Xenopus tropicalis: one gene and its partners. The protein of the gene in region 3 purifies or fractionates together with the protein of the main gene of each other region. This does not show direct contact. Links are inferred from orthologs where the notes say so. Each region holds a gene or a part of one and is shown on either strand. Other genes may lie near its edges.

Evidence for each region.
Region 1: the proteins of irak1 (region 3) and peli2 purify together in Homo sapiens (affinity purification with western blotting; 7 studies listed by BioGRID and IntAct, with this or other methods). This does not show direct contact. The link is inferred for Xenopus tropicalis from reciprocal best matches to the Homo sapiens genes IRAK1 and PELI2.
Region 2: the proteins of irak1 (region 3) and tollip purify together in Homo sapiens (affinity purification with western blotting; 11 studies listed by BioGRID and IntAct, with this or other methods). This does not show direct contact. The link is inferred for Xenopus tropicalis from reciprocal best matches to the Homo sapiens genes IRAK1 and TOLLIP.
Region 4: the proteins of irak1 (region 3) and map3k7 purify together in Homo sapiens (affinity purification with western blotting; 5 studies listed by BioGRID). This does not show direct contact. The link is inferred for Xenopus tropicalis from reciprocal best matches to the Homo sapiens genes IRAK1 and MAP3K7.
Region 5: the proteins of irak1 (region 3) and stip1 purify together in Homo sapiens (affinity purification with mass spectrometry; 3 studies listed by BioGRID and IntAct, with this or other methods). This does not show direct contact. The link is inferred for Xenopus tropicalis from reciprocal best matches to the Homo sapiens genes IRAK1 and STIP1.

What each region holds. Positions count from the first base shown.
Region 1 is NC_030684.2:104,373,037-104,377,046, reverse strand, and holds the start of peli2 (E3 ubiquitin-protein ligase pellino homolog 2), read left to right. Parts: upstream 1-1,204; 5' UTR 1,205-1,568; coding exon 1,569-1,645; intron 1,646-4,010. UniProt on the Homo sapiens protein: E3 ubiquitin ligase catalyzing the covalent attachment of ubiquitin moieties onto substrate proteins. Involved in the TLR and IL-1 signaling pathways via interaction with the complex containing IRAK kinases and TRAF6.
Region 2 is NC_030680.2:21,551,446-21,555,647, forward strand, and holds the start of tollip (toll-interacting protein), read right to left. Parts: upstream 2,807-4,202; 5' UTR 2,726-2,806; coding exon 2,693-2,725; intron 1-2,692. UniProt on the Homo sapiens protein: Component of the signaling pathway of IL-1 and Toll-like receptors. Inhibits cell activation by microbial products. Recruits IRAK1 to the IL-1 receptor complex. Inhibits IRAK1 phosphorylation and kinase activity.
Region 3 is NC_030684.2:32,170,608-32,174,451, forward strand, and holds the end of irak1 (interleukin-1 receptor-associated kinase 1), read right to left. Parts: intron 3,417-3,844; coding exon 3,192-3,416; intron 1,223-3,191; coding exon 596-1,222; 3' UTR 511-595; downstream 1-510.
Region 4 is NC_030681.2:84,978,703-84,982,792, forward strand, and holds the start of map3k7 (mitogen-activated protein kinase kinase kinase 7), read left to right. Parts: upstream 1-1,285; 5' UTR 1,286-1,513; coding exon 1,514-1,600; intron 1,601-4,090. UniProt on the Homo sapiens protein: Serine/threonine kinase which acts as an essential component of the MAP kinase signal transduction pathway. Plays an important role in the cascades of cellular responses evoked by changes in the environment.
Region 5 is NC_030680.2:35,680,558-35,684,750, reverse strand, and holds the start of stip1 (stress-induced-phosphoprotein 1), read left to right. Parts: upstream 1-1,382; 5' UTR 1,383-1,388; coding exon 1,389-1,397; intron 1,398-3,735; coding exon 3,736-3,945; intron 3,946-4,042; coding exon 4,043-4,184; intron 4,185-4,193. UniProt on the Homo sapiens protein: Acts as a co-chaperone for HSP90AA1. Mediates the association of the molecular chaperones HSPA8/HSC70 and HSP90.

The DNA of each region.
Region 1 (4,010 bases), about 72 Mb from region 3:
AAATCCTGTTTTTTTTCAACCAAAACTTGCAACCTAGTCAGGAATTCAAAAATAACTACCTGGTTTGGGGGCACTGAGAGCAACATCCAAGGGGTCGGTTAGCAACATGTTGTCCCAGAGCCACTGGTTGGGGATCACTACCCTAGGGCCATGGATGTTGTCCTCTCCTGATGGGTCTACATGGCCAACACATAATCCATTCCTTGGCCTGGGGTTTAGCAAGATTTGGCCCCTGACTTGTTAGTCATCTTACAGCTTCTCCACTGCCAAGAAAAATTCTACCCCTAGCAAGAGTCTGTGTGTGTTGGGTCTCTTAACAAATATCTGCTGCAGTGTGCACTGCATTACAATTATTTCCATAAATCAGGATAGGGAATTTGAATTGATCTTTTAGTTTTATACTATGTGCAGTGAAGTTGCTGTTCTCTATACATGAAATGAAGCACAAGACGCAATCATTTTATTAATCAGTAGGAGCCCCCAACTTGATTTACTCAAACTGGAACCAGGATACTGGAGCAGCTGGACTGTGTGCAGCATACAACACCCAGATATGATTGAAATGTAGCTTGTCAAATGATATGATACTGGCAGAGGCTTTATAAAATATCAAACCTTTAGCTGTAAACACTTCTTTGCATCACTTAACCAGTAATCAATGAATCATTTGCACTTTATTATAAGAGATAATTAATAAGACAATAGATCAGGTGATATTTTGATTTGCTACTTCTCTCTCTGAGGCGGGCATTCTAATTGTGAGGATGCTTGGTACCAATAGATCAGTAACGTCACCTTTGCGGATAAAAATAGAACTGCCCCTTTAAGAGCTCCCTATCCCATTTTACTCTATGTTTACATAACAGTATGGACGCTCCCACTCTTCACTTTATGGAGGGGGGTTAAGTGGCGGAATCTGTTACTGGTTAGCGCACGTTCCTGTTTTATCTAATCCGTTCGCTGCTTGGTAAGAGAGGACCTATCATTTGCGGCAGCTTGTTTCCCTGAAAGCACCGAGATAGATACAGGGCAGGGAATGTTTTGTGTTTGATTATGCAAACTCCGCCCACTTCTCTCCCAACGCCTAATCCAGAGTCCTGTTGCCACGGCACTTGGAAAGCAGCGGGGTTCCATTTGTTGTCTAGAGGGGGAGGAGGAAGGAGGTCGGTCCCGCGAGTCATTCGCAGCCTCTCTCTGTTGCTATCGCGTCGGTTGCAGGGCAGGAGGCAGACGCAAGCGGCTTGTTCCTCGGGAGTGCTGCTGTTTTGCTTTGGGCTGCCGGAGACAGGCCGCGGCGCTTTGGAGGGATTATAACCTTTCCCGTCAGCTGGAGCTGGAAGAAACTACTGGGGAGGGAGGGGAGAGTGCGGCGGTGACAGTAATCTGCGCCACAGGGCAGCCTCTTTGCTCCTAGGATTTATCCGCCACCCGGGCTGGTGAGCTGCGGCATCCGGTGTGTATATGAGCTGCCATGGAGTAGAGGGGGTGCGGAAGTGGAGCTCCCCGAGGGATTGTACGGCTGGCCGGGGACCGTGCATTGGCAGAGGGTGACGGGGACCGTCTTCTCCATGTTTTCCCCCAGTCAGGAGGAGCACTGCGCCCCCAGTAAGGAGCCCGTCAAATACGGAGAGCTGGTGGTGCTGGGGTGAGTCGCACACACACTGACATAGGGCAGAGCACAGAGGCCACTGCCTGTCTCCTCACTATCACAAGCACAAGGGGGGGGGGGGGGGGAGTACAATAACAAAGGACATATCATAAGGGCAAATGGCTTATTACACTGTTTAACAATTGCTTGTTAGTCTCTGTATAAACAACACGCACCCCCAAGCTTCTGCCTTCCAGCTGTTGTTCAACTGCAACTTCTCACATCCCACCTACAGCATGTTAGCAGTTTGCAGTAAGGCTACAGATTGGGAATTCCCAATTTATGGAGCAGAACTCAGATGGGCTAGCAAGCTATACTGTATTGCTGGGGGCCCTCACCCACACCCTGAGCCAGCAAGCCAACCGTGGGGGTTGAGATGAGAGGGTACAGCGGAAGTAGTGGAAGTTAAATGCGAATGCATGTTATATTATTGAAAGGTCAGCTTGATCAACACAAGAGCTTACAATTTAGTGAGAGAGGTTCATTTACTAAAATGCCATATTGGCAAGTGAAGCTGAGAGCAATTATATCTATGTGTAACAGCTGCTACCTGGCAGTTAAAGGGCCTGGTTCCATGCTGCACTGTTTGCTTAAAGTTTGTGGGACTCCATTATAAGAGTGGTGGAAGTGACTCAGTACACAGAAGGGGGTGGGTGCAATGTGGAGCAGACATTTACATGTTTAAGGCAAAAGGATAATGGGCCTGCTCATAAGATTTTGAAACGGCGGGGTTTCCTACCTTTTCTTAGGGTTGAACTATAATTCCAAGCACTCCCCGCTGTGCTACATGTATAAGAACTCTGTGTAGTGCAGCCTGGGGGGCACTGGAGATTTTGGGGCTGCATGTCAGCCTCCAGTTGGAAAGTTCTGCTGTGCTGCATGTTGGATCACATTGGCTCACAGCCCTAAGAAGGGATATGCCACCTTCATCAGTCAAGTAGCTGTAGAGTTTCCACTAAAAGCCACATAAAGTTGTATTCCAGCGGGACTTGAAGGGTTAAATATTCAACATCCATGATCTGGAAAGATAAATATGTTTTTGGCCCAAATATTAGGCCAACCCACCCCTGTGTATTCATTGTTGGGAAATCATTTTATAACAGCCAGTAAATGGGAAATCTCCCTGTAGAAGCTCATGCAGCATTTATTTTGTGTTTTAACCCAGGGTTTTACTTCATAGCATTGCATAGCATAGGTATTGCAGGAGTTGTATGCGCTGGCCAGGCAGGGCAAGTTCTACTTCATGGTGCTTCAACATGCAGCCATTTAGTAGTTCTGTTCCTAAGAACTCCAGGTGCTTTTTGCTCAGCTCTCTGTTTTGCTTTGTCATCAGTACCTGCCAAATAAATTTATATATAAACGTCCTATAAAAAGCCTTACTTGACATTGGCTGCGCTTATTCATATGTGCAAAGTATAGGAAACCTATTCTAGGTATGTAATGCCTCAGTGTATCCCGTATTACAGAGGGGCAATATCAGTATACAGGAAGTCATTGTATTTGCTGTGTTTTAGGTCACTTTCCCAGGGGGTTGGTCATGCCTCTTTCTTATTCTATGAAATCCAGTATTTCCTGTGTGAAATCCTCTAACATCTGGATTGCCATTTCTGCTGCATGTTATTGTTTACATATACGTAATGCTGCAGTTTTTCCATATTGCTGAACCACAAAGGGGGGGAATACAAACAATTGCATATCAATGCAGTCCAGTAGAAATGGGATTTAATTGCCCCATTCCTTACTGCTTGCTTTTCCATTTCCGTTATTGGTTTGGTAAGCTGCTGGGGAAATTACAAAATCCCACGCATGCTAATGTGCTTTGTGTGTGTGTTTCCCCCTTTTCTCATTGGAACAGTCTGGTAACAGGATTGATCCAAGATAAAGTGAGGGGTACTTCAGATTGGTAAACGTCAACTTTCCTTCTATCCCAGGCTCTGCAGTATGCTTATATGCAGATTGTCATTATCACCATAAATTATAAAGCAGTAACCTATTTTGCAGGGCTGCACAAACTGCCTAATACATAACTGACAGCTGGGGCATGGTATATTTATGATTTACTTAAAAGGCTCAAGGCCCGGCCCTTTAGATCAGATTTAGAGGAGATATCCTAAGCAGCAGTCATGTGAAATACTGCTTTTGTTTTCCCTTTGAGAGCTGCTAGGAAAGAAAGAGTTAAGAAGGAATTTACCAAATATTTTAGGCTTGGCTTTTAATGAGTGCATGTGCTCTGGTATTTTATTTACCACTAAGGTATTTTATTTAGCCCACCCCCTCCATCTGCTATTGCATAAGCAGCAGCAGCACTTCAAAAGTGAAACGGAATACTGGAAAAGTAAAGCAACAATGCCAAAGACTGGAG
Region 2 (4,202 bases), on a different chromosome or scaffold from region 3:
CAGAATTTTTAAACTGATTTCCTTTTTCTCTGTAGTAATAAAATAGTATCATGTAACTGATCCCAACTTAGATATAAATAATCCTTATTGGGGGCAGAACAGCCCTATTGGGTTTATTTAATGGTTAAATGATTCCCTTTTCTCTGTAATAATAAAACAGTACCTGTACTTGATCCGAACTAAGATATAATTACCCCTATTGGGTTTATTTAATGGTTAAATGATTCCCTTTTCTCTGTAATAATTAAACAGTACCAGTACTTGATCCCAACTAAGATATAATTACCCCTTATTGGGGCAGAACAGTCCTGTTGGGTTTATTTAATGGTTAAATGATTCCCTTTTCTCTGTAATAATAAAACAGTACCTGTACTTGATCACAACTAAGATATAATTACCCCTTATTGTGGGCAGAACAGCCCTATTGGGTTTATTTAATGGTTAAATTATTCCCTTTTCTCTATAATAATAAAACAGTACCTGTACTTGATCCCAGCTAAGATATAATTACCCCTTATTGTGGGCAGAACAGCCCTATTAGGTTTATTTAATGGTCAAATTATTCCCTTTTCTCTGTAATAATAAAACAGTACCTGTACTTGATCCCAACTAAGATATAATTACCCCTTATTGGGGGCAAAACAATCCTATTGGGTTTAATTAATGGTTTATTATTTTTTAGTAGACTTAAGGTATATAGATCCAAATTAAGGAAAGACCCCTTATCCGGAATACCCTTTGTCCCAAGCATTCTGGATAATGGGTCCTATAGACATATCTATATATATTCACCAAAGAAAAGTGGCACTGCTGCAAACTCGTGCAAAAGGACTTAGCCCGTTGGTACAGGCTCACATACAAAAACCCACCAAAAAAGTCCTGCCAAAAAAAAAAAAGAGTCTTACCAACAAGTAAAAGGTGATATTTGTGAGAAGGAAGAAAAACATTTGGGTTACCCTGACTCGGGTTAAAATAGTAGATAATATTTGTTATTAGTATGAAAGGGTATAATATTTTCAGTAGAATTTCCATTCAAAGGATGGAACAGAAAGCATCATTACAACACTCACATGACACAAAACCCATAGCTGTTTTGAGGCTAGCTATTGCAACATTGTTTCAGGATTCCGAAACAGTAGTGCTGAGACTATAAACAGCCAGGCATTTACTGCCTTCACTAGCAATTACATTTACATATAACTTCGAAAACCACTGAAAACCATTTAAAGTACAGGTATAGGACCCCTTATCCGGAAACCCATTATTCAGAAAGTTCCAAATTACGTAAAGGCTCCATTAAAAATTCCATAGACTCCATTTAAAAGAAATAATTCTAATTTTTAAAAATTATTTCCTTTTTCTCTATAGTAATTAAACAGTAACTTGTACTTAATTCCAACAAAGATATAATTAATGCTTATTAAAGACAAAACAATCCTATTGGGTTTATTTAACATTTATATGATTTTTAGTAGACTTAAGGTGAGTAGATCTAAAATTACAGAAAGACCCCTTATCTGGAAAACCCCATGTCCCGAGCATTCTGGATAACAGGTCCCATACCTATAATATATATTGCAAAGCTGTCTTTACAGGACAAAAGTAAAGAGAGGACATCAAAGCATCACAGATGCTTTGAAGCTAAAGAATTGATGTAAAAACAGATAAATACATATTGTACATGTGAGGAACAAACTAAGATGTTTACGGCCCATATCCTATCTTGGTCGCTGGGAGTGGAATGCTTAGGCGGCTGAAGCACATGACCTAGCCACATTCCAACGGGAGACATCAGTGCATCAGGGCTTTAACACTCGAACAACTCTAGCCGCTTTAAGGGATAGGGATAGGCGGCCGAGAGTTTGGCTAAATATGTCCATATTGCCCAAGCAATTTAGGGCACGTACAAGGAGACCTAGAATGTAAAGCCATAGGACTGCTAAAGACTTCAGCAACCACAAAACTTAGGGCCCTTCATACCAAACCTGCCCTTTAAGTCTCTAGGCTTGTGGGTCAAATACTGGTTGGCCCATGTATGGCCACCTTAACAAGAGATAATGCCCTCTGTACAAACAAGCTCCACCCTTTATTGTTACTGTTTTGAATTAGAAAAAAAGCAGAAGCCCATTATGAATGGGAATATCTGTCAGGCTGCAATCTAATTACTCACCTTGCAAGACATGGGGTAGCCTCAGTTTCTCAGCTTGCCCCTGTTCCAGCTCAAAAAAAATTAACAAAACCCATAGATCTGTCGCGATTCAAATAGGCAAAAAAAAACAAAAAACTAGTTGAGCTCAAGCCAATTTATTAGTAACCCTTTGTTGTTGAGTAAGACGGATAGTGCTTCTTTAATTTCATATCCTACATAACTAGGTGAAAAATGAGCTGCTGCAGGCTGCACTGATTTATGTACAGCCACGCAGAACGCAGTTTAATAGCTGATTGGCTACACAGCATGTAGGGGTTTTCTGTGGCGTTTAAAAGGAAAACATGCCGTCAACGAGGTAATACATTCCAAATATCAAAGATCTCAATGTCACCTTATTTACAAACTAGCCAGGAATGCAGCGCATTCCTTATGTTGGGGCTGGGTCTCACCTCCATACCCCGACATTTTTATCACCCCTCATGTATTGAACCTACCACCTAAACACCCCGTTTCACCCCAAAACCTCTCTCCACTCTATCTCACCTGGCCTCTCTGGGTGCTGATACTCGTTGCCATGGCTTCTGAACAGCTCTTATCTCTCCGGTCTCGTCTTCTCCAAGACACTTCCTGTTTTAGCTGCTACACCCTCTAACAAATCTGTCACCTGACTTGCAGCGCACACGCATGCGCAGTAAGGCATCAGACGCTTGCGGTTTTAGCGGCGGCTCCGCTAGCAACTCGGTCACCTGACCTGCCGGACGCACGCATGCGCAGAATGCCTAAAGTGCCTCAGGACACAGGTTGGCTCTTGTTTTTGAGGATAAAATATAGAAACTGAAATGATAGAAAAATTATTAAGTACATATATGTCAGGAAACTGTTCCCTATGGGTGTCGTGTGTGATTTTATATCAGTATTGGTTAATTCTGTCACAGGCCATAAATCCAACTTTTAAGTGGGAAATTAAATAACTTTTTCAAATACATTTTTATTTTATATGTTATTCATGTCATACAGTTGCTCTCTACTAAATGCAAAACTGTGAGGAAAAAATACCAGCCTTGCTATCTTTGTGTGAATGAGTACAATTCTGTACAATTGTGTGTAAAACAGAGTAAGAATGTGTAAGTGTGTAAATGGGTGTGTAAATATTTGTATTGTGTGGGTGTGTCAAAGGGTGTGTAAGGGCGTATAAAGGGGGCATTTGCTAACGTTCGATTTATTTTTTCACAGTTGGAACATATGTGCCAAAATACGATTTATTTACAGGAAAGTTGATTTACAGAACCGCAGGAAATCCGAAAGAAAAAATGCGCCATCTAAAAGCTGCTGAGAGCAGAAGTCAATGGCAGGTGTCCCTTTTTACAACTGGAAGGTATTTCCTCACTTATGAAAAAGCTGCCGTTTTTTGCATTTTCCCGTGTCTTTTTTATTTGTTTGTGCTTTTTCAATTTGGATCTTTTATTAAAGCCTTTTTATTGTGACTTTTGTGAAAACGAGTTTAGACATGAGTTTCAAAATACTGTAAAACCATGAAAATCAGAATGTTAATAAATCTGCCCTTTAGTATATGTAGGTGCAGAAAATAATGTGTAGATGCATGAAACAGCGCGGCATTGGACTGGCCTGCTGGGACACCAGGAGAAAACCCGGTAGGCTCTAGTCCTGTTGGGCCCCACAGGGCTGCCATCAGGGGGGACAGTCATCCAGGGCCCGGACGATTCTCACTTTTAAGGGGGGCCCAGCCTTGATACAGTTTTTTTTAGCTGGGGCCCCCCAAGTACAGGCCCTGTCATTGGTGGTCAACGAGTAATCCGATTGGTCGCGCCCCGTGTGTACATGTAACGTCATAAGAGTGAGGACGCTGCGGGGAGCCGGAGGAGAGAGACAGTCAGCTGGAGGTAGCAGGAGAACACTGGGGGGGGGGGGAGCCGGAGGAAGCAGAAGGATGCTGGGGGATAGCAGGAGGATGCTGAGGGGGGAGCTGGAAGAGGCAAGGGGATGCTGGGGGGGGAGCCAGAGAAAGCAGGAGGACGTGAGGGGGGGCGGAGCC
Region 3 (3,844 bases):
TACATTTTTAGTAGAAAGATCCCTTATTCGAAAAACATCAGGTCCCGAGCATTCTGGATAACAAGACCCATACCTGTATAAGCAATCATCCTCCTAATTGGCCTTTATAGTAGGACCCCTTCAACAGTGTTGGGCCTACCTTAGAGGGCCAGTTTGGGAACCACAGTAGGCAAGTGAATATGTAACTTAACTTTTAAATAGGGTATAATGTTTTTTTAATGAGCCAATATGCTCTGCTGGCAAAGTTTTATGGTGGCTCTATGCAGAAGGTATGGGAGGGGGGATGAAAGTAATCACCACCCTCTTTCAACTTTCTACACTCAACTAAGTCAGACCAAGCCCTAGGGGCCCTCAGGCTATACCCTGTTACTAGCTTTTTGAAAGGGCAGTATAACAGTACAAGAGGGATATTGAAGTTGATGAGGATGGTTGAGCTCAGCCTACAGAGAGCAATGGAGTCTTATGCAAGACTGAAACTACACGAAAAGAAACGAGAGCAAAACAAAGAAGTGGGAACTAATTAACTTTGATATTTCCATAACAGAAATACAAAGGGGATAGGTTCTGTACATAGAATGATTTTTTGTAACAATCCCTAAAGCACCAATAGTGCTGCCACGTGTTCTTCAAAATGTGTTGCTCGCCCCCTGGGCCTACCTTGGGATGCCCCTGATGTTGAGCTGCCACTTCCTGACAGTTCATTGCAGTAATGTCTCTGCCTGGGCTGAACTGCTAATTGGTTCTGGTACTGCACAGGAGGAATTGGGTCCTGGACAGATACCCTTGGTAATACAGGCGATATGCTCCCTTGCACTCCGCTGGGGTAGAGAATATGTTGGTCACTTGGTCCCGCTGAATTATCAGAGCCACTAAAATCTGGGAAGCTTTCATCACTCTCCACTGGTGTGTTCTGAGCGCCCCGAAATGTTTTGAGGCTTTGGCAGGAAAATGAACTGCATAAACTGTCCACTTTGGCCTGGTGCTGGGTGTGAGCTGGGGTGTAGGGTTGAACACTGCCCTTAACTGAAAGCCCACAGGGAGTATATTTGTCTGTGTTTTCCTCAGGGGTGAGAGGCAAATCCTGGACACTAGATGCCAGCTCATGTATGGGGGAAAATCCTCGCCTGGTGGATACGCAAGGTGGAGTAAAAGAAATTCCATGACCCTTTCCCAAATGTCGTCGGTGGAGATGCTCTTGTAGCCGCTTTAGGGTGAGAAAGACCTAGGAAAGCAAAGCAAATCAAACAGTTAACCAGCGAAATGACTGGACTTCAATGAATAAAGATATTGTTAAAGAGATTATTTTAAAGGGCAAGTAAAGCCCTAGCAAAACATGGCTTGAAACCATCAGTAATAAAATATAACCTAGAACCTATTCAGGGAAGCAGAGGCTGGATATAAAATAACAATGCAAGGGGCTACTGTACAGATTCCCACATAGAGTAAAGGTGGCCACACACGTGGCGATCTGACAATGTTTCGTGCGACCATCTGACGATGTTTCGTGCGACCATTTTATAACCTGGCCGATCGGCGAGTCGACTGATTTCAGCAGCTTCCTGTGATATCGGTCGGCTCGCCGACATGCCATACATGCACCGAATATCGTACGAAACGAGGTTTCGTACGATATTATCGGTGCGTGTATGGCCAGCTTAACCCTATGCTTGGTCAAGCTTAACTAAAGCGCTTCCTCTACTGTCCAAGTTATTCCAGCAGTGACTTCCATACAGCTGTGTCATGGAGGCAGTGGCCTTTTTATATGCTGTACCCACACACATACACACATTAGGAAGATTGCAATAGCTGTAGGGCCAGAACAAGGGGCAGGCTGGGGGAGGTGCAGTTGGGGGGGGGGTAGAAAACAGTTGAACTAAGTGTGAACCAAGGTGGGCTGTGTGGCCTTTCCTTGTGAATGCCCCAGGAGTTGGTTTGAGAGCAAATGAATGGGGAGGTGGAGGGGTAGACAGGTAGAGCTCTGGACCAAGTAGTATTGCCCCAATATAGCTTGATACAAATCTGGCTACATGTCTAAAGTTAGCCCTGCAGGGGCTATATGGCACAGTCCATTCTTTGGGTAATATGTTTTTATCACTAGATGGTGCTGTTCTATTACAGCTGATGAAGTATGGCTCAGCAAAGATAAGCAATATGGCCGGCCCCAAGCAATTTGTATTATTAACTACATCAAATCTGAACACAAAACTAAACTTTTAACTTGTTTCATAAAAAAAAATAATTAGGATTCAGTCCCTGTAAAGTGTTACTGTACCAAAAAAGGGTTTTATTGCATAATTAATATAAAACGTACTTCTATGCAACTTCCCAATATACATTCATTATACATTTTCACTGGTTTAAGCTTGTTAGTAAATGTATTTACCACTGAAAGTAGTGTCTGTTTTTTTTAAACAATTAGCAGTAGTTCTCCTCCAGGTTCTGTTAGTCAGCTGGTTATGGCAACATCATTCTAGGAGTCGGCCAGCAGTGCAGAGGATATAAACAGCAGCAATTACATTTACAAATAGCTTTAAAGCCATTAAAAATGTCTCATAAATGTATACTGGAAAGTTGCTTAGAATTTCATTATGCAAAAACATCTTTTGGATAGAGATCCCCTTTAATGTAGAGAAGCTCTGTGCTTGAGGGGTAATGTATGGTTCAAAGGCTTTCATGAACCAGGATTTTGCTGATCTGGTACAACCCATACAACTGCCTGTGCACACCTGGCATTTTCAAAGGCAAAGTGTTCTTTTGATAATGTTTCATGTGCACAATATTATGCCGCTTTTGCATATAGTGCCACCCTGCTATACCTTAACAATTCACTGTTTCTGCTAAGAAACTTATTAAGAAATGTTGAGGTAGTCTGCATTTCTGCACAGAGCAGTCACAGTCCAGCTTTTATGGGTTATTCTCTCTAAACTTTGTTGGGTTTTGGCAAACCCCCCCTTTGGAGGTCTATTAGAACTCTACAATATGATCCTGTGTATAAAACTAAGTGGTCTCAGCCACTTGACTTGGCTAGTTTAAGTAGCAGGTACAAAGTCCAAAATACCGCACTCACAGGGCTTATGTGTAGAGATGTATTTTTATTCAAAAGCAGAGCTTTTGAGAGAACTCCCCAGGTCTCTATTCAATTGTACAGAACTTTTAGAGGCTGATTTACCAAACACAGAAGAATACAGTACCTCCTGCATATTCGGTCTCTTCTTTTGACGTCCCAGACACCGACACGCCAGTTGTGAGAGTTCCTGCGTTACTTCTTTAGCGTGCTGCCATACTCTGAAATCTAGGTGATATTGGCATATGCGTGCTGCCACCCGTGCTAGCTTGGCTTCTGCTCCACTTGCCATGCTGGCTCCTTTTTCTTCCTCCTCCTCATCCTTGCACTCTTCTTCCTTCACTAGATCCTTCTGCAAGAGAAGGGAGCTGGGTGAAAAGCAATTCAGTGTTATTAACCTTATAAATATTAGGGGACACTACAGGAAATTCTACAAGGAGATTCCCAGGGACAGACAGAAAAAGACCACCTTTTATGTGACTCCTTACTCACTCTATGATCCCTATGTGTGTTACAGTATGGACCAGCATAAGAAAAGTGTGGTGCATTCCGACCTGTGCCTGGCCACACGTCATAAGGCAGGCTCTGTATATACCATAACAGATAAGGTTTGAAATGCCAGTGTACTGAAGGCAACTGCATTCTCAGCAACAAGGTCCAGCTAGGCCTCTATACCGTCTGGGGTCCCCAGGAAATAAAGGAGAACTACAGCCTAATTAAATAAGTAAGACAGAAATGTACATTATGTTTCGTGCTTCTGTACCACCCCAACCACAGCCC
Region 4 (4,090 bases), on a different chromosome or scaffold from region 3:
CCTGCTGTGAACAGGTATTGTTCGTTTGCCTGCTACGTGGGAGCAGCCACCTTTATAAAGGGAAGGTACTCTGGGGCAGGTAGCGCTACCTGGGGGGACTAAAGAGCTCTTGGGGAAGGGACTGAACTAACCTAAGGGTTGTGGTTTATCCGGATCCAAGTGGGGATTGGGCATCTATAGAGACTGTCGGTGCCAGCTGTGGATAAACTACATGGGTTCCTCAGAGCAGGAAAATCAGTTGTACATAAAGTGTTAACTTCCAACTCCAACAGTTATATAAAGTTTAACATTTCTGCCAAACCTGTGTGTGATTATTTCCTAGTGGAAATCCCCTAGAGGTGTGTTCCTCAGTGTCCACTAGGTGGAGGCACTGCGCTGTTCCCAGTTCCCAGTATCAATATTCTTTGAGAACACACATCTCCTGAAAATACAGCCATATATAAGTGAATGTGCCAAGAAAGGGTTACACATACATACCTGTTCTCACCAGGGGACACACACGGAGATTCCACAGAGGACTTTGTAATCCCTGGCAGCCCTGCAGACTCTTCTTTTTTCAGTCTCAACTCACAACATGTGGTACGGGCTGCTCACTCTATATCTCTCCTCCAAAAACTGGCAAAACACCTTTATCAACTGCTGCCCCCCCCTTGATTTTTGGCTCCAAACTGGGGCATCCAGCCAGCACTTGCCTGAGGCTGGAGATCTCCCTATAAAGTTAAAGGGAAAACCCAGCTTCTGCACAATTGTGTCAGATTTGTGACAAAATGTGCATACAGTTGTGGGAATTTTGTCACATCAAATGTAGTTGTGTAGGCGCAATAGTGATTGCAATTCAGTGGAAAAGGCTGCATTGTGGGGAAAAAATGCACTCAGAATTCCACTTTGTTTACTGCACTTGCCTATAAGAGTATATTTCTATACTTTCACTATTGGTTATAAATTAAGAGCAGGCACTGAGAAATGATTTCTGGAAGTTTTAAAAACCTAACAACACTTCCAGAGACAATTTATTTCGGAGGGCAGATAGTACCGTCATATAAGACAGCAAAACGTAAACAAAACAGCAGAGCAAAAAAAAAAAAGACTATATTGTAGAAAGAATTTTCATTTTGTCATGTCAATAAAGTTGTATAAAAAAACTATCTTTCCGAACACGCCTCACTTTGCTTCTGTGCAAGACGACATCACGAAGCCCCGCCCTGCTTTCGCCGCCGCTCTGCATTAGGCCTGCGCTTCTTCGCCTCTACCTGTATGGTCGGATCGGAAGTTGGCCAGCGCATCAGCGGCTACAGTAGTAGCAAGAGAGCCCTCCCCTCTTCCACCACAGGCCCTGGCTCCAAGCAGGCTAGGCCCAGCAGCCCAGAAGGGGGTTACCTGGTCCTTGATGGGCCGGGGCCGCCCGTCACGTACAAGTATTACGGTGGCTCCTGTTAAACCCGCTCTGTTTTCCCCAGCTGTGTACCCCGGCTTCCGCCGGTGGGGTCCCCGATTTCTCTTGTAAGGGCACGGCATGTCTGCCGCCTCTGCTGACATGATTGAGACTCCACCGGTGCTAAACTTTGAGGAGATCGACTACAAGGAGATAGAGGTGGAAGAGGTGAGCCTGCGGGGTGACACGGGCAAATGGGCTAAAGGCAGATCTCCAACCTGCAGCTTTTCATTAACATATAACTTCTAGCAGTTGCTGCCAGTAGTTGCACTTTACTGACCGCAGGTTGGACTTTCCCCGCTTATTGTTTGTAAATATTTAGTCCTATTCATTCTTTGCCAGAGAAAGTTCTATGGAGACAAATCTAGTAGTAAAGACACCCTTAAAGGGGAAGTTCACTTGTAAAGCAGCTATTAGGTTTTTCCTGGCTGGCCTATTCTCGGCAACTATTCAATTGATTATTTCTAATTTATATGTTTTATGGTTTTTTTTAATGATTCCCCCTCCTATCATTGCCATTTTACATGTTGCAATTTGAAAATGTCAGTTTTTTGGGGGACACTGTCCCTCCCCCAATTATATAGCTGATACTTGTCTTTGGCTTGTCTTTGTTTAGAGTTTCTTTCCTTTTCATCTTTCTGACTTTCCAACCACTGCCTGGTTCAAGGTAAACATTCTAAGTTGGATAGCTGCAGAGCAAAATGTGAAATAATTAAAAAAAAACAAAAAAACAAAAGAAATAACTAAAGAACAGTAGCAAACTGTCATAACATTCAGGTGAATTGCTTCTTGAAAGACTGCGTTTGTCCCAGACAACATATCTGTACATTTGCCGCTGATATGAGGCATCAGAGGTGACAGGTAGCCCATCCATTTTTTGTATGATTTATTTCATATATTTCCCAATGGCTTGCACATTCCATGCATCTCCATAGTGGTACAAACTTTGCTTGGAAACCTCTTTTTCTATTGGTTTCATCTGTAATATTAATGCGATAGCAAAACAGATTAATTCATAGTTTGTCAAAGAATTTTGTTTTTAAATTATCAGAAAACACAATGAAAAGACACTTGTGAAGCACCAGTTTTATGTAGTTGTTTTTATTCTTACCGCTGATGCATGTGTTTGAAGTATGACCATATTTATAGCCAAAAATATTGGGTAGGCATGTTTTCTGGTTGTAGTCACATGGGTGTCGTGCCGTACTCATGGTGATTCCTGTTGAATGTAAAGGGGAAGTGATGTTCCTCTAAATTATGTTAATTTACCCCAAATCTTGTCACATTAGTCTTATTGACGTTTTGCTTTTGTGTATATGCCATTTTCAAGCAAAGGCCAATTGGATATTCTTACGGTGGCCATGCACGAGTAGATTTTAGCTGCAGATTCGGGTCCTTTAGAATGATTCAGCAGCTTATCTGCCCATGTATGGGCACGCCTGCCAGGCCTACCTGACTACATCGTCAGATCCGCCACACACCCATCAGAGCTGAAACAGCAGATAAGGAGGAAGAAACAATAGGATTTCTACCTCCTTCTGCCGATTCAGCCCTGACGGCAGATTTTGGTCAGGCGCCTTCTATGGCGCCCGATCAAATTTTTTTAACCGGTCCGATCGGCGAGTCGACCGATATTAGCAGTTTCCTGCGATATTGGTCGACTCGCCGACATGCCATACACGCACTGAATATAGTACGAAAAGAGGTTTCGTACGATAGTATCGGTGCGTGTATGGCCAGCTTTAGATCTGCCCTAAAATTAACCAGATCTTGGTCAGATAGGTTTGATTTTATGACTTATAAGGGACTGCATCATTTGGTCCAAACTTGCCCACCTAACGAGAAGATCCACTCGTTTGGCGAACTCTCCAAACAAGCAGATCTTAAAGTGTGTGGCTGCCTCAACTCAACATTGTGAAAGTTCATCAATCTGGAATCGGTGAAGGATTGTTGTCTGATCCAAATTCCCTTGTACAGGAACATGCAGTATATTTTCCTGTAGAACCATGGGACTTGATAGCATAGGTTAGGTTTAATGAAACCATCAGGGTGAAGACAGACAGAGAAACTAGTCGCTGCGATTTTAAAAATCCAGTCTAGGTGACTTATTGGCCGCCACAAAAGTCTTGGATTTCTTACTGTTGCATGCTATTATGATATCTACTGGGAGCTGATATCTTGCTCCCTTCCCATTGTTCTGCTGATTGACTGCTGTGGGAGATTAATATCGCTCCAACTTGCAGTGCAGCAGTAAAGTGTGATTGAAGTTTTTCAGAGCACAGGTGACATGGCTGTGGCACCCTGGGAAATGAAGGATATGGCTAGCCCCATGTGAAATTTCAAAATTAAATATAAAAATCTGTGTATTTGAAAAATGGATTTTAATGCAGGATTCTGCTTCTCTCTGGAGAAGCTCCATTAACTCATGTGTTTTGGAAAAAAAAACATGGTTTTCCATGACAGTATCCCTTTTAAGGTGCATTTTGCTGGCAGTGCCTCTTCTCATTCTATGTACTGTTAGGGCAAAGACACACGGAGCTGCTTAGTAGCAGCTACTTGCGACGGCTAGAAAACTCCAGAAAATACCCTGCCACAGACAAAACTTGAGAATTGCCTCTACACATGTAGAGACAATTACCAGTAAATGATCAGCATTGT
Region 5 (4,193 bases), on a different chromosome or scaffold from region 3:
CCTTTCTTACTCATGAGTCACAGTCAAATATAAAAAGACTTGGAGAGCAACACAAGCATCATAAAAGTTCATGGAGGAGCCAAATAAGGGCTAAGATTGGCTATTAGGCAGCCTCTATGCACACTATCAGCTTACAGGGGGCTTTATTTGGTAGTAAATCTTGACTTTATTCAACCAAAACTTGCCACAAAGTCAGGAATTCAAAAATAACTCCCTGGTTTGGGGGCACTGAGAGCAACATCCAAGGGGTTGGTGAGCAACATGTTGTCCCTGAGCCACTGGTTGGGGATCACTGTACTTGAGCGTCTAGTCAGGGTACTGGCCTATTAATTCAGTTACCTTCCTTGCACACCTAGGGGTACATTTACTAATCCACGAACGTCCGAAAAGCGTCCGAATGTGTTTTTTTCGTAATGATTGGTATTTTGCGACTTTTTCGTGAATTGTCGCAAATTTTTCGAGCGCTCAATACGAAAAAGTTGCGACAATTTGCGAAATTCGTAATGGCTATGAAAAAGTCGCGACAATTCACGAAAGTCATAATGGCTATGAAAAAGTCTCGACAATTCACGAAATTTGTAATGGCTATGAAAAAGTTGCGACAATTCACGCAAGTCATAATGGTTATAAAAAAGTCGCTACAATTTACGAAAAAGTCGTAATGGCGACGAAAAAAATCGCAAAAATACGAAAAAGTCGCAAAATGTTCATTTTCCAATCCGAATTTTTCTCATTCGGATTCGTGGATTAGTAAATCAGCCCCCTAGTGTGCTCACAATTCACTAGTACTTCTTCTTGGGGTTCTGATGATCCTGGAATCTGAGCCACAAGATACAACATAGTGAAAAAAGGTATTCACAAAGGGATTCAGAACCTTTTCAGTACTGCTGACCATGGAGGTTATTATGTATAAATGAAATTCCCTGCTAGGGCCAAGAAAAGTAAGTATAAGAAATGTGAGAGATGTATTGGTAGTGTCCCTGCAGCTCTGTACAACCGAACACATTGTTGGTTGGAAGTGACATCACTTTTCCTCAATGAAACAAGTGGGGTCTTAAAACCAATCAGAACTCTAGGCCCTCGTAGCAACCAATTGGCGTAGTAGAAGCTTCCAGAATCCTCCAGCCAATTTCTCCCCAAGCGTGAGCTTACAGCCAGCCAATCGGCTTTAGAAGTAGTGAATGGGCGGGATAAAACAAGGACAAGGAAGTCTTGCTGGGAGAGTCAGCAAGGGGCGTGGGTACGTGATGGATAACAGCATTGACCTGTCAGCGAAGGGAGCTTAAAATGTTCGCCCAATAGTTGCACACTCGGTAGGCGGGAATTGAACTGTCATCGTTTAGTAGGTTCGAGAAGACGCGTGGGGAGGTCGGAATCAGAGGGTTGCAATGGAGGCGGTAAGTGGCAAATTGTTAGTTAAGAGTGATGGGGATATTATAAATGCTAACCCACACACTTGCTCCGCGTTATGGGACAAGTAAGCTTTCCATAGTTGCGGGGAATTTATACTTGTGGGTCAGTCATTAAGTCATGGAGTGAGGGTCTGGGCTATGTGGGATAGCTGTTCTTCCTTTCAGACGATTGGTAACTGCCCTCAATAGCATTCAGTGCAAGAGTAGTTGCAGAACTGCAGCTTCCAGCCGTACTGGCATTGTGGCGTCAGGAGTTATTTTTCTGCCAGTCTCTGCCATCTCATGCCACGTCTGTCAGTTTCTCCAATAGGGGCAATAGCTCACCCTTGTTTCTAGTTTCCATGCTTCTCCTTGGGATTTACGCCTGTAAAACCATCAGCCTGCAGACTGCACTGGTTTCTGTATAGCCATATGGTAGGCAACTTAGCTAATCAACCCTACTCTTATTTATTCTAAAGGTTTACTGTGTATTGTTCACCTAATAAAATTGTCATTATTTGGAACTCCCTCCACCAGCTACTGGTGATCTCTGGTGTAGTAAGAAGTTCATGGGTCCCACAGCAAAATAATTTTTTGGTTACCCTAAAATTTAGAAATAAGACTTTTGCATTGTGATGGGACATTGAATAGTTTCTGATGGGACACAGATATTGAAGGAAAACGTTTAAAAATCTGGATTAATCTGGATTTATGCTATTGTATGTGTACGTCTACATCTTTGAATAAAAGTTTTTACTGAGGCAATTATATTGGCATAGTCATCTGGGAAATCTGTAAGAGAGAATCCCAAGTATTATTAAAGAGGAAGGGTGGGTTCTGTAGAAATGAACTACAGTTCTTAAGACGGCTATAAACTTAAAGGTATTGACAGTAAGTACACGACTTAGTACAAATTCCCTCCCAGTCCTTGTGTCCAAGTAGCATTTAGAAGAGACATGTTTGTACCATGGCTATTGGACATTTTATAGACTGGACAGGTTTAACCATTTTGGTCGGTTTGGCCCAAAGAAACAAATTTCCAGTTGTGTGTAGTCAGAAGATAACCATAGAACAGCAATGGCAAAGGACGATGTACCAACTTTACATGCTTGGCCAGCCTGCCATCTGATCTTTCCTATGAACTTTCACATTTGCAATATATACATCTTCATATTAATAGTTTGTCATTTTATATACAGATGCAGTGGCAGGGTGCACAGATGCAAGTCAGTGTTATTGTTACTTTGCACTCTGTCCCTCCATCAGCACATGTAGGTGCAAGTAAGGACCTGACCATGACTTCAGCACTGCCTGCATTCAGTGTGAGGTAGTTAAGAGAGCAAATATGCCTCAGATGCAGGTGCACCCAAACCATTATTAAATGAGCCCCAGTATTTTGGCCTCTTTGTCTACAAGTGTTATGGAGAGGGATTCACAGTATGCAGCTTGATAATTTTTATGTTACATTTAGTTGGTTTCCTGGAAAAGAAAGTAGCGCTGGCACAGCTGGGCATAAGTAGGGTAATTGAATTGGAGTCCTTTCTCTTACCTATTCCTCTTAGGCAAGGGGCATATGGGGTGTTTTGCTTGATGTTGTCATCTAGTGAACAACAGCAGCATTCAAAATACCCCTGTCTGCCTATCGCAGCTCATTGTTCAGAGCAGTGACAGGTAGAAGGGCAATTAGCCTGCTGCTGTTTTATCTCTGTATGGCAGTAGTGTATAAAATGGCCGTGGGCCACAAGTTTTAGGCTAATGGTACACAGGGCTGGGAATCCCCTGATGTGGGAATTATAGCTACAAAAATGTCTGTAGAACATTAACCTGTGCTATAACAGAAATATATCATGCATATTTTATTATTATTTATGTTTGTCACCAGTTCCTTTCTACTGAACTGAACCTTTATTTTCTTATGCATGTTGCAGGATTAGGCAAAAAAAGAATTTTTTTATTTATTTATTTTTTTTATAGGTACACAGGGATCCAGATATTTTTTATGTATTATGTATATATCTCTTATTTTTATATTCAACCTGCAGTTGAGCATGTTATTATTTGTACTATTTGAGCCAAGGGTGCCTAGCAAGGCATAGTTTGAGGCAATGACATGTTTAAATTCTGCTTTCCCCTTCCCTTCAATTTTCTTTTCAGCCCACGCTGCCCAAAGTGAGTCAGAGTGGGGGTGGCAGCAATTTAGTTCCAGGCACCAGTGGCGCAAGAGTTAATTAAGCAGCAGTGGAAGGCATAGAGATTTGATATCTTTGTACATACTTTCATTATAACAAATGACATATCGTTATGTATATGTTTCAAAATTGTTGTCCCTGTTCTTTCCCATCAGGCAAACGCACTGAAAGAGAAAGGAAACAAAGCACTTTCAGCAGGGGATCTGGATGAAGCAGTCAAATGCTACACCGAAGCCATCAAACTTGACCCTAAAAATCACGTCCTGTACAGCAATCGTTCTGCAGCCTTTGCCAAAAAGAAAGAGTTCACCAAAGCACTGGAAGATGGCGGCAAAACCGTGGAGCTGAAACCAGACTGGGGGAAGGTGGGAGCTGTAGAGCTAAGCATATGTAGTGACCTGTAAACCTGTTGGTAATAATTTGTGTATATCTATAAGTGTCTTATTGTTATCTTTCTATTAGGGTTACTCTAGGAAAGCAGCAGCTTTAGAATTTCTGAATCGTTTTGAAGAAGCAAAGAAAACTTATGAAGAGGGGCTGAGGCACGAGCCAGCAAATGCACAGCTGAAAGAAGGGCTGCAAAATATGGAGGCCAGGCTGGCAGGTACTATAA